2 linked regions of the Caenorhabditis elegans genome follow. The protein of the gene in region 1 purifies or fractionates together with the protein of each later gene. This does not show direct contact. Each region holds a gene or a part of one and is shown on either strand. Other genes may lie near its edges. The genes, in order: let-99 and par-1.

Region 1 (5,451 bases):
AAAATGTGTTTTGTGATAGAAAATTTGAAAAATTTCAACCTTCGAACTTTGAATTTCCGTGAACATTTCTTCCCCTTACAATTTCTCATATATAAAGCCTCCGAAAATCTACAAAATTCATATTTTCTCACTTTACAAGATTCAAAACCTCTCGGAAGCGAAAAAAGAATAATGATCTCGCAAGTGAGTTTTCTGTCAGGATTCTGATATTTTCCAAACCTCTCGCTTCCAGATCATTTTGCTATTAACTCTCAATATCTTGCCATTTGTGCTGGTCCATTGTGGGAGCAAGAAGAAAACAGTGGCTCCAAAACCGGTCGCTAAACTTATGGCAGCACCTGCTGGAGGAGTCGGAAAAAGCGACTCATTCGATTCGAAGAAACAAGACGTTCCATCGTCAAAGAAGGATGAACCAGTGGCTCCAAAGAAAGAAGATGTGAGTTATTTTTGGCATATTTTAAAAGACAAAACGAACGTTTTTAGGAGGGCAACTACGAGGAGCTCGCCATCCCACAATAGTCCTCAATGTATCCTAATAAATTTTTTGAAATTCCCCCTTTTCTGTGTTATTAAAGCATAGAAGAAAATAAATACATATAGATAAATCATCGTCAAAATTTATGGAACAAAACGAACATCGAGAATTTCAATTCAACCAGAATTGTAAAATAACATTTAGAAAAATGATGATAATGACACAAGAATTCGGTGAGCGGGGAGGAATGGAACAAAATAAATAATATATTGAATATATACATGGGGCGAAGATTTTTAGATTTATTTACGCAGCAATCTTGTGAACAATCCTTTCTTCGTTTTCTCACATGCCACTTCTCTTAGTGGTTTCTTAAAAACTGCCGGAGATGCTTGCGGTTTATCCGGAACTGGTGGTTGCCAATCATTTCGACTTCTGGTGATCTTTGCGTACCGAGGACCACTATATCTGTCCTTTTCTTCACATTCCAATCGTTTGACCTGTTCGATAAATTCAACAGGTACTGCAAAAAGAGATTGAAAGTTTGCGAGGAGGACAGCGGTTATCAGCATTCCTTGTTGCTTTCGGCATTTACTACAAACACCTGTCCAGAGTCCGATGATTGCCTGAAATCGAAAATTTAAAATTGATATTACGCAGACGCAAAAGTTCGCGACAAAAGTACGGTACCGGTCTCGAGGCGACAAATTTTTCTTTTGTCGAATGAAACGAATGAAGATTTCTGCAGAATTTTAATTGTTGAAATATAGGTGTTAATTTTGTAGTGCTAAATTGATAAATATTTTTTTTTATCAAATAACTAATTAAAATCCATAAAAATTCGGCAGAAATGAGAGTTTGAAATTACAGTACTCCTTGAGGGCGCACACATTTTCTTATCTAACAAAAAGTTGTCGTGTCGAGACCGGTTACAGTAGTTTTCTTGCAAAATTATCCCCTCCTTACCGCTTCCCGATTGTTGGAAGATCCGTTAGAAGGATCAGCGAGGTCGAAAACTGCATTCGTTTCGATCGATTGAATGAATGTAACAAATTTGTGAAGTTTCCGACGTCGTGAAGTTGGAAGCGAAAGAAGTACCAATTGAATTGCTTCGATCAACCATTGCTCTCGGATTTCGTAGGATTTTTCGTCTGAAATTATAATTTTAAGTAAAAATCGTGAAACTGTAATAAAAATAAAATTCTTTACCTTGTATTTCCAAATTCACTCTATTATCAAATGGTGATAACGCACGTCGTCGATACTTTGAAGCTCGAATTCCGCATGCTGGAAGATCACGGGAGAATCCATCGACCATCAATCCAGCCTCCTCAATACTAGACGCAGACGAAGAAATCATCACTTTCGACCATCGCCTTGCAGGCCCATTGTCAAGCATTGCCGCGAAGCTATCGATTTTGCAGAGGAGATTAACAATAAGAGAGCATTCATCGAATTGAAGAGGAGCATTCAAGTCTTCGAGACGATTGACTAGAGTTATGAAAATCCGATTGACGTTGTATTCCAACCCTGTGTCCATTTTTTTATGCGTGACGAAGGGATATCGAACAAGATAATCCATGAATTGAATAACAGTTTGGGGATAATCGGGCTGCAGTCCCTGACATCTCGATTTGACGATTCCATCAGCATGATCTATTTCAATCATGTTCCACTGAATATCGTATCCATCGACTTTAGATGCCCATTCACAGGGAAGAGTGCGATCGTAAATTTGTTCCAATCGTCCAAGCAGCTCTGTTTTCCAAAATGAGCATTCGTTGTTTGCCTGGACAGAGTCTGCAACTGGAACAACCGACGATCTTCTCATGATGGATTCGTACATTCTTCCACGCGATAACAATGCTGGATTTGATCCTGCGATGCTTGTCCGATGATTTTGATATCTGCTAGGAACTGCAGGCAACGGTCCTTGTGGATGCATAAAGACGACGTCTTTCGGGGCTTCTCGAATTGGCGGAGTGGTTACTTTCTGACTACGAAGAGCAGCTTCAGCTTTTTCTTGTTCCAAAACACAATGATTTCGATCAAGGGATGCTGAACGACGGGTTGGTTGATTGACTTTCGTGTGATTTCGTCTTGATTTGAAAAACGGTAACCAATCATAAACCTTCTCTTTCATCTCAGAAACTTCTCGTTTTTCAGTATATTCTTCTGTACAGATACTTTCAAGTGATCTGTTCAAAATCTTCGGAGTTCGTTGTTTCTTCGGGATTTCATCGTCTTTATGATCATCGAAACCGTGATTCTCAACGCCGCCTGAAGAATTATCGATGCCTGCTTTGTCAATGTTGCCATTAGATCGCGATAATCTTCGTGGGAGCCTTGCCTTTGGTGGCCGGTGCATTGTCGCGGCAGGAGAGGCAGGTTGAGCAACTCTGGAAATATATTTTATAGCACAGTTTAAAATGATTATTTGGCATACTTTGCACTTTTGCGAGCACCACTGAAAGACGCTGATCGACGTGATCGGGGCTTGGGATGCTTCAACTCATCCAAAGTCTTCATGAACAAATATATTCTCGATTCACTGAATGGCCTCCTTTGCTTGACTTTCTTCGGGAAGGCTTCTGAAATCACGTTCATGTCCATCATGAACTCCAGGAACTTCTGCATCTTGTCTCGTTCCGGAACATTGTTAGGGATGATTCGTGGCATTTCAATCATCAGAAAATCCACAGCTTCTTTCCCGCTGAAACTGTTTTCCGCAGTGGCCAATCCTCTTCTGTTCGTTTTGAGTGATAAGTTTGAACGAAAATGCCATAGAATTTCGTCGAACTGAAAATCAGAATAAAATTTCAAAAGACAAATGTGAAACATTTTAATACCAGATGCGTCGCCTTGAACTTCTCCGATGAGTAGTCGGCAGACATCACGGCAAGACGGCCTAAAACTTGAATTTTGATGGTTTATTGATAAATTTAAGAACTTCTTAAAAGAAAACGAGATTTCATCACGAAAAAAAGCAAGAATGAGGAAAAATTTCTGGAAACTTCCTAAAAATTGCTGAAACGAGTGAAGTTTTGGCGCCGAAGTTTTGTTTACGGACCAAACACACGAAAACACGACTTGTCACACAACTTATTAGCTACAGTAACCCATTCTGCTTTGAAAATTTCTCTTTTTAATTAAAAATTCCTCGATTCAGATGTTTTTTTTTTCTCAAAGTGTTTCTAATAATTATATTTTCCTCGAAATCCACACTATTTTACATAAAACAAATCATCTTATTCTGCTCTTTTCGCCGTTTACACCATCTGTCCTTCTCCAATGACTCCTTCTCTGCGTCTCTTTCACTCTCTCGCCGCCCTCTTTTTCTCTGTCGTCTCTCACTTCGACGTACTTTCTCTCGTGTTGTTGTTCCCGTACTTTTGTGTGTTCCACTGTTTGTGAGATGACGGCTAGTTGCCTGGTACTGGATTCTCACCAGTTTTAATTGATTTTTCATCAAATTTTCTTTAAAAACTGATTAAACTTTGTGATTTTTATCGTATTTTTACAGATTTTCAGTTCAAAATGTCCGATGAGAAGTCTACCACACCAACCGCTCAACTCGACGCTCCAGCCGATGGAAATATGAATGATTTGACGTCGTTGGTACGTAAATACTTGAAAAAAATTGTCAATTTTCTAAAAAATCCTAAAACTCAGATACAAGGAGTTCTGCAACAGACACAGGATCGATTCCAGCACATGTCGGATCAGATTATTCGGCGAATCGATGATATGACAACGAGAATCGATGATTTGGAGAAGAATATCAACGATTTGCTGCAATCGAACCAAGTTGAACATCCGCCAAGCGCTCAATAAGATTGGTACGGAATGAGAAAAATGGGAAACATTCTCAAAAATTTCGGTCGATGTTTTGACCACTCGTTATTTTTGAAAAACAGTGTTGTTTTTGATGTCGACTTTGAAATTTCAAAAAAAAACAATAATATGGGCCGTGGGACCCAATTAGAAATACAGTAAAAAACGCTCTTTGGCCGAATATTTTATAATTTTCATGTATGAAGTCAATCCTTTTATTCCTTCTTAACTTTAGTTTGAAATATATTTAGATTTCCTAGCGCCTTTCCAATCGATTTACCACGTGGTAATCAGGCCGATTGCACCGTTATTCCAAGACTTTATCATTAAAAATTAGTATAAAAATATAGAACTTCACCTATTAATTTTGGCTGAAAAATTCGCCGAAGAGCTCAAAAATGGTCTGAAAGATGCCAAATTTCCACTAAAAAATCAATTTGTAGAGATTATTAATAACTAATCTCTCTTCAATTTCTATTTTTTCCAGCTCTACACTCTTCCCAAATGAATCATCGTCGCTTCCTTCTTCATCATCATCATAATTCCAATTCGTTTTGTGTGCTTCTCTGCGTCTCTCCTACATACATATACTCTTTTCACGTCTTCTTCTTCTTCTTTTTCTACTGATTATGCACGTGTTGAGAGGATTCATGACTACTATGTTGTGCCTCCTGCTTTTAATCTCTTATTCAATAACTTTTGTTGCATTTTATTACGATTTTCGGAATTATTTTATTTATATGTGAAAACACAAATTTTGCCAAAAATTCAAATTTTTGTGCATTTTTAAAAAAAATTTTCAATATGAAACTATTCATCTTACTTTTTCTTCTTCTTCCCTTGAATTTTTTCTCATACTAAATGTTGATTTCTCACAGTTTTTACTAACTATTTCGCATCCGGATTTTCAGATAAAAAACATATAATTTCAGAAATGGGAGCTCAAAATTCGAAGCGAAAAGATCTAAAAAATATTAACGATGAGGATTATGCACATTTTATGGAAAAACTCAAAAAACACACAGATGGAAAGGACAAAATGACGCGAGACCAGTTTGTGGTGAATTAATTTTTAGAAGGAAAATACATTTTAATATAAAATTTTCAAATTCCAGGCAATGTTCATACCGATTCTGGGTGAA
Region 2 (4,933 bases), on another chromosome or scaffold:
AGTACGATTATAAAGAAGAAAAGTGAGACGCGAACTTCTTTTTTTCAACTCCATCTTCGTCGTCTCGGTGCACCTGGTGTGTTGTCCTATTCTATTCGGTTCTACCTCCTCCACCCCCAATCTATTCAATTTTTATTATTGACTTATCGGAAAGAGAGTCAGTAATAGGAGAGGTGGACACGCAGACGTTGTGAGAAAACGACAAGCGCCTCGACTGAGAGAATTGAAGAACTGACTCATTTTTGTACTGAACTGACTGACAGTGCAGACTGGTTGACACACCTGCTCAGAAGCTGCTGGATCACCTTACACATTCACGTGCGACACTATTTTATTCAATTATTGTTCGCGATTCAAGATTCAAGAACTGTTAAGATGACGAAGAAATCGTACGCATTTGCACTGGATCTCGATGATTTGTGCTGTGACGATCATCCATATTCATATTCACCACCTTCCACATCTTCACGGCATTCTGCATATTATCCATCTCAACAGCCTCGGACCTTTTTTCCGGAATATGAATTGACCAGGTTTCTATCTTGTTTCAAAATATTTTTTCCGGCTGCTTCTCTTCTTGAATATGACTCATCGCCCCCTCAATTTTTCGTTGGTCGTGCTGCAAGAAATTTTCCATGATTCATCATAGCAGCTTGTAGTATAGAAGAAGACCATCGTTGTTCTTGTTGAACATCAGATTTTACATTTTATGTCCGGCGCCTGAGTTCGCCTTACTTTTTTTGTGTTCTACGAGGTACGGGCAATATGATGAACGTAGCCACTAAATGGGGCAAAGTGGCCGAATATAATTAGTACGTTTCTAGATTCGGTTGACCTTTGATTTTATATCCAAAAAAGGCAGTTTAACGGTTTTCTTTTTGAAAAACAATTTTTTCTAACTGAGGGGCTGGAACTTCCTTTTCTATTGGAACAACGCGTCTCAAATGAAAAAAAAAAGTTTCCGAAGCGCTATTTTTCGAGTTTTTTTTTTTCATTAAATCGGCTGTAAAAGTCGTCATTTCTTCCCCTCTGTGCTGACGTCTTCACTCAAAATGAAGAATTGCAAGCACAACGAGATGACGTTGGATGGCCCCGCAAGCAGTCAGCATCGAATGAAAATTTAAACACAGAAATTCAACGAGCCCCGTCCATCAAAGCCACAAAAAAACGGGGGTCCGCGAAGGGAAATTAGAAAAAACGAAGAGGCATGGCGGGGGGGGGGGGGACACGATTTTATGTAGCACTTGGAGCAGCACTTTGTGGGGGCATTTATCGGTCGGCGGGGAGGGTTTTTTGGAGAAATTCCGATGTGATGGGAGCAATAGAAAGAGAAGGGGACACATATTCCCTCTTAGTTTTTTTCTCCTTTTGCTCACACTTTTTTCAAGAGGAATACAGACAGATAGAGAGAGACATGGATGCAATTTGTGTCTCTTCTCCAAAGTGTGGATGGATGGATGGATGGATGTGTATGGAGAAAGGCCGCCCATCTTCTTCTTCTTGCTCGCTTGCTCCTCTTCTACTGCCGGCGCTCTCCTCGTTTTTTCCAGTGTGTCCGTCCTCCACGCTTTGCTCCATTTCGGGGAGCCCCAGGGCTCTTACGCGTCCGTTTGACCTAATTCGATATGTTCAATGCGGCATACTCGTCGTTACTCGCTAGATTTATGTGCCAGCCAAGTAGTTCATCTGTGACGCCTATTCCGGAAGAGGAGGAATCTCTGATCCCGAAGCGAAAAGTGTCTGAAGTGGTCACTACAGCTCCGATGGCTCCCACACTAACTTCATCTGGGAAACGGCGAACGGTGAAAGTGTCACCTGATGGAGATCATGTCACACATAACCGAAAAAAGTTAATTTTAGTTCACATTTAAAATTAAAATAAAGCCCCAGTCCACCAGTTTTCAATAAAAATTTTTCCAGCTCTTCATCACATGCACGATCTACTGGACAATCGGGTATGTCAAGTCGATCGGCAGCACGACGCAACGATCAGGATGTACACGTTGGAAAGTATAAGCTATTGAAGACTATTGGAAAGGGAAATTTTGCAAAGGTGAGCACTTGATGATTGGAAATTTCGAAAAAAAATAGTTATCAAAAAATTAGAGCTTGAAACATACTGTAGCCGGTCTCGACACGACCGAGCGCCTTTAAGGATTACTGTAGTTACAAACTCCCGGTTTTTGGCAAATTTTCTGTTTTCCAAATTTTTTAAAAATTTTATTTATTAAAACCAGTCGATGACCGCGCCTCCGGCGCGGCCAACGACTGGCGGAGTTTAAAATGTATAATACATAGATGTCCTTTTAATCATTCAAAAATGTATCATTAAAAAAGTTGAAACTTCATCGATTAAATCGCATTTTCTTCTTCCATGGTATTCGATTCAGAAAATTCAAAGAGACAGTTAGAATGTTCTGATTTTTCTACACTCAAAATTATAAAACTGCGTTGCGTGTACGCCAAAATAGTCCCCGCCTTTTTCTCGTTCACTCACGGGGAAAAGGCAAAAAGCGGTACCCCAGGTAATATCAGCCGCCGACATCATTCGAGGTCCGCGCACCACACTATTTTTCTCACTGTTGGCGTGGCGAGCTGTCCCCCTCCCCCGAAAAAATTCCACAGAGTTACAGTTTTTCAATAAGTTAATAACTTTCCTTAACTGGAGAAGTCTGAATAATTAACTACTAATAGTAAGTTCTTTGAATATAGATGTGACGAAACAAATAAAAACTCCTACAGTTATAGGAGGTTGTAGAGCATTTCAGAACTTTTTTGAATTTTCCAGATGATTCTAGAACATTCTAGAATTTTCTTGAAACTTCCAGAAGGTGCTGAAACAAAAAATTGATTCCAGAACCAAAATTTGAATTTCCCGCCAAATGTTTTCCTCAGAAAATTTGAATTTCCCGTCAAAATCTTTTTCTCAGAAAATTTGAATTTCCCGCCAAAATTTTTCTTGGAAATTTGAATTCCCGCCAAAATTTCTTTTCTCATAAATTTTGAAGCTCCCGCCCATATTTTTAAAGGTCCCACCACGATGGGTCTCGCCAGTTCCAGGTGGTACTTAAGCTAACAAAAAGTTTCTCAGAAAATTTGAATTTCCCGCCAAAAATTTTTTCACTGAAAATTTGAATTTCCCGCTAAAATTTTTTTCACTGAAAATTTGAATTTCCCGCCAAAAATTTTTTCACTGAAAATTTGAATTTCCCGCCAAAAATTTTTTCACTGAAAATTTGAATTTCCCGCCAAAAATTTTTTCACTGAAAATTTGAATTTCCCGCCAAAAATTTTTTTCACTGAAAATTTGAATTTCCCGCCAAAATTTTTTTTACTGAAAATTTGAATTTCCTGCCAAAATTTTTTTCACTGATTGAATTTCCCGCCAAAATTTTTTTTACTGAAAATTTGAATTTCCTGCTAAAATTTTTTTCACTGAAAATTTGAATTTCCCGCCAAAATTTTTTCACTGAAAATTTGAATTTCCCGCCAAAATTTTTTTCACTGAAAATTTGAATTTCCCGCCAAAATTTTTTTCACTGATTGAATTTCCCGCCAAAATTTTTTTAACTGAAAATTTGAATTTCCTGCTAAAATTTTTTTCACTGAAAATTTGAATTTCCCGCCAAAATTTTTTTTACTGAAAATTTGAATTTCCCGCCAAAATTTTTTTCACTTAAAATTTGAATTTCCCGCCAAAATTTTTTTCACTTAAAATTTGAATTTCACGCCAACATTTTGGGTCTCACCACGAAGGGTCTCACCACGATGGGTCTCACCACGAAGGGTCTCACCACGAAGGGTCTCACCACGTAGGGTCTCAACACGATGGGTCTCACCACGAAGGGTGCCACGCCCACTATTCTCACTGAAATTTGGGCGTGACGTCACAGACTCCAAAGACTACATAGACTACAAACTCCGGACAGACGAACTGTATTTTTTTATATATAGTTAATGATATTTCCTTTTTGAGAAGTAATTTAACTTTTTTATATATTTTTTTTGAGAAACGAGAGAAAATTTCAGAAAAAAAAATCTCGGTTTCATTTTTTTACGCTTAAAATTTATTTTTCGAAAACCCAAAATCATATAAAAGTCATGAAAGAAATATAAACTTCGAAAAAATGATAGACATATTGTGAAAATTTGCAAAACATTGCACAAAAAACAGGGAATCACAACTACAGTACCCTTTAAAGGAGTACACTCTTTTGTTCAGAACATTTTAAGTCGTGTCCGGACCTTGGAGACCGTGCACCGTAACTTTTTATTAAAAATCTTTTTTTTTCCCAGTCGGAAATACGAAACAGCCTGACAAAAATAAATCTTAGATATATGACCATTTAATTAATTATTTTTGCAGGTAAAACTCGCAAAGCACGTGATAACCGGACATGAAGTCGCTATAAAAATTATCGACAAGACTGCTCTGAACCCATCGAGTCTTCAAAAATTGTTCCGAGAAGTGAAAATTATGAAACAATTGGATCATCCGAATATTGTGAAATTATATCAAGTGATGGAAACTGAACAGACACTGTATTTAGTACTCGAATATGCATCCGGTGGTGAAGTATTTGATTATTTGGTTGCACACGGAAGAATGAAAGAGAAAGAAGCAAGAGCCAAATTTCGACAAATTGTCTCTGCTGTTCAATATTTGCATTCGAAAAATATAATTCATCGAGATTTGAAAGCTGAAAATTTGCTTCTCGATCAAGATATGAATATTAAAATTGCTGATTTTGGATTTTCGAATACCTTCTCACTTGGAAACAAACTCGACACATTTTGTGGATCTCCACCGTACGCTGCTCCAGAATTATTTTCCGGTAAAAAGTACGATGGTCCTGAAGTAGATGTTTGGAGTCTTGGTGTAATTCTCTATACTCTTGTATCCGGAAGTCTACCATTTGATGGACAAAATTTG

The links.
Region 2: the proteins of let-99 (region 1) and par-1 purify together in Caenorhabditis elegans (affinity purification with western blotting, with the first as the bait; 2 studies listed by BioGRID). This does not show direct contact.

Annotation. Positions count from the first base shown.
Region 1 is NC_003282.8:12,565,774-12,571,224, reverse strand, and holds let-99 (Protein let-99), read right to left. Parts: upstream 3,384-5,451; 5' UTR 3,370-3,383; coding exon 3,325-3,369; intron 3,275-3,324; coding exon 2,922-3,274; intron 2,875-2,921; coding exon 1,685-2,874; intron 1,627-1,684; coding exon 1,442-1,626; intron 1,102-1,441; coding exon 778-1,101; 3' UTR 603-777; downstream 1-602. Other genes in the region: K08E7.4 (uncharacterized protein), read left to right, coding at 172-183, 233-436, 484-519; hsb-1 (Heat shock factor-binding protein 1), read left to right, coding at 4,013-4,093, 4,148-4,309; eak-7 (MTOR-associated protein MEAK7), read left to right, coding at 5,244-5,369, 5,425-5,451. UniProt on the Caenorhabditis elegans protein: Required for the proper orientation of spindles after the establishment of polarity. May play a role in interactions between the astral microtubules and the cortical cytoskeleton. Required for asymmetric forces on nuclei and spindles.
Region 2 is NC_003283.11:14,123,231-14,128,163, reverse strand, and holds the start of par-1 (Serine/threonine-protein kinase par-1), read left to right. Parts: upstream 1-1,625; coding exon 1,626-1,849; exon of another isoform or gene 1,850-1,908; intron 1,909-1,920; coding exon 1,921-2,053; intron 2,054-4,366; coding exon 4,367-4,933. UniProt on the Caenorhabditis elegans protein: Required for cytoplasmic partitioning and asymmetric cell division in early embryogenesis. Phosphorylates and restricts the asymmetry effector mex-5 (and possibly also mex-6) to the anterior cytoplasm of the zygote.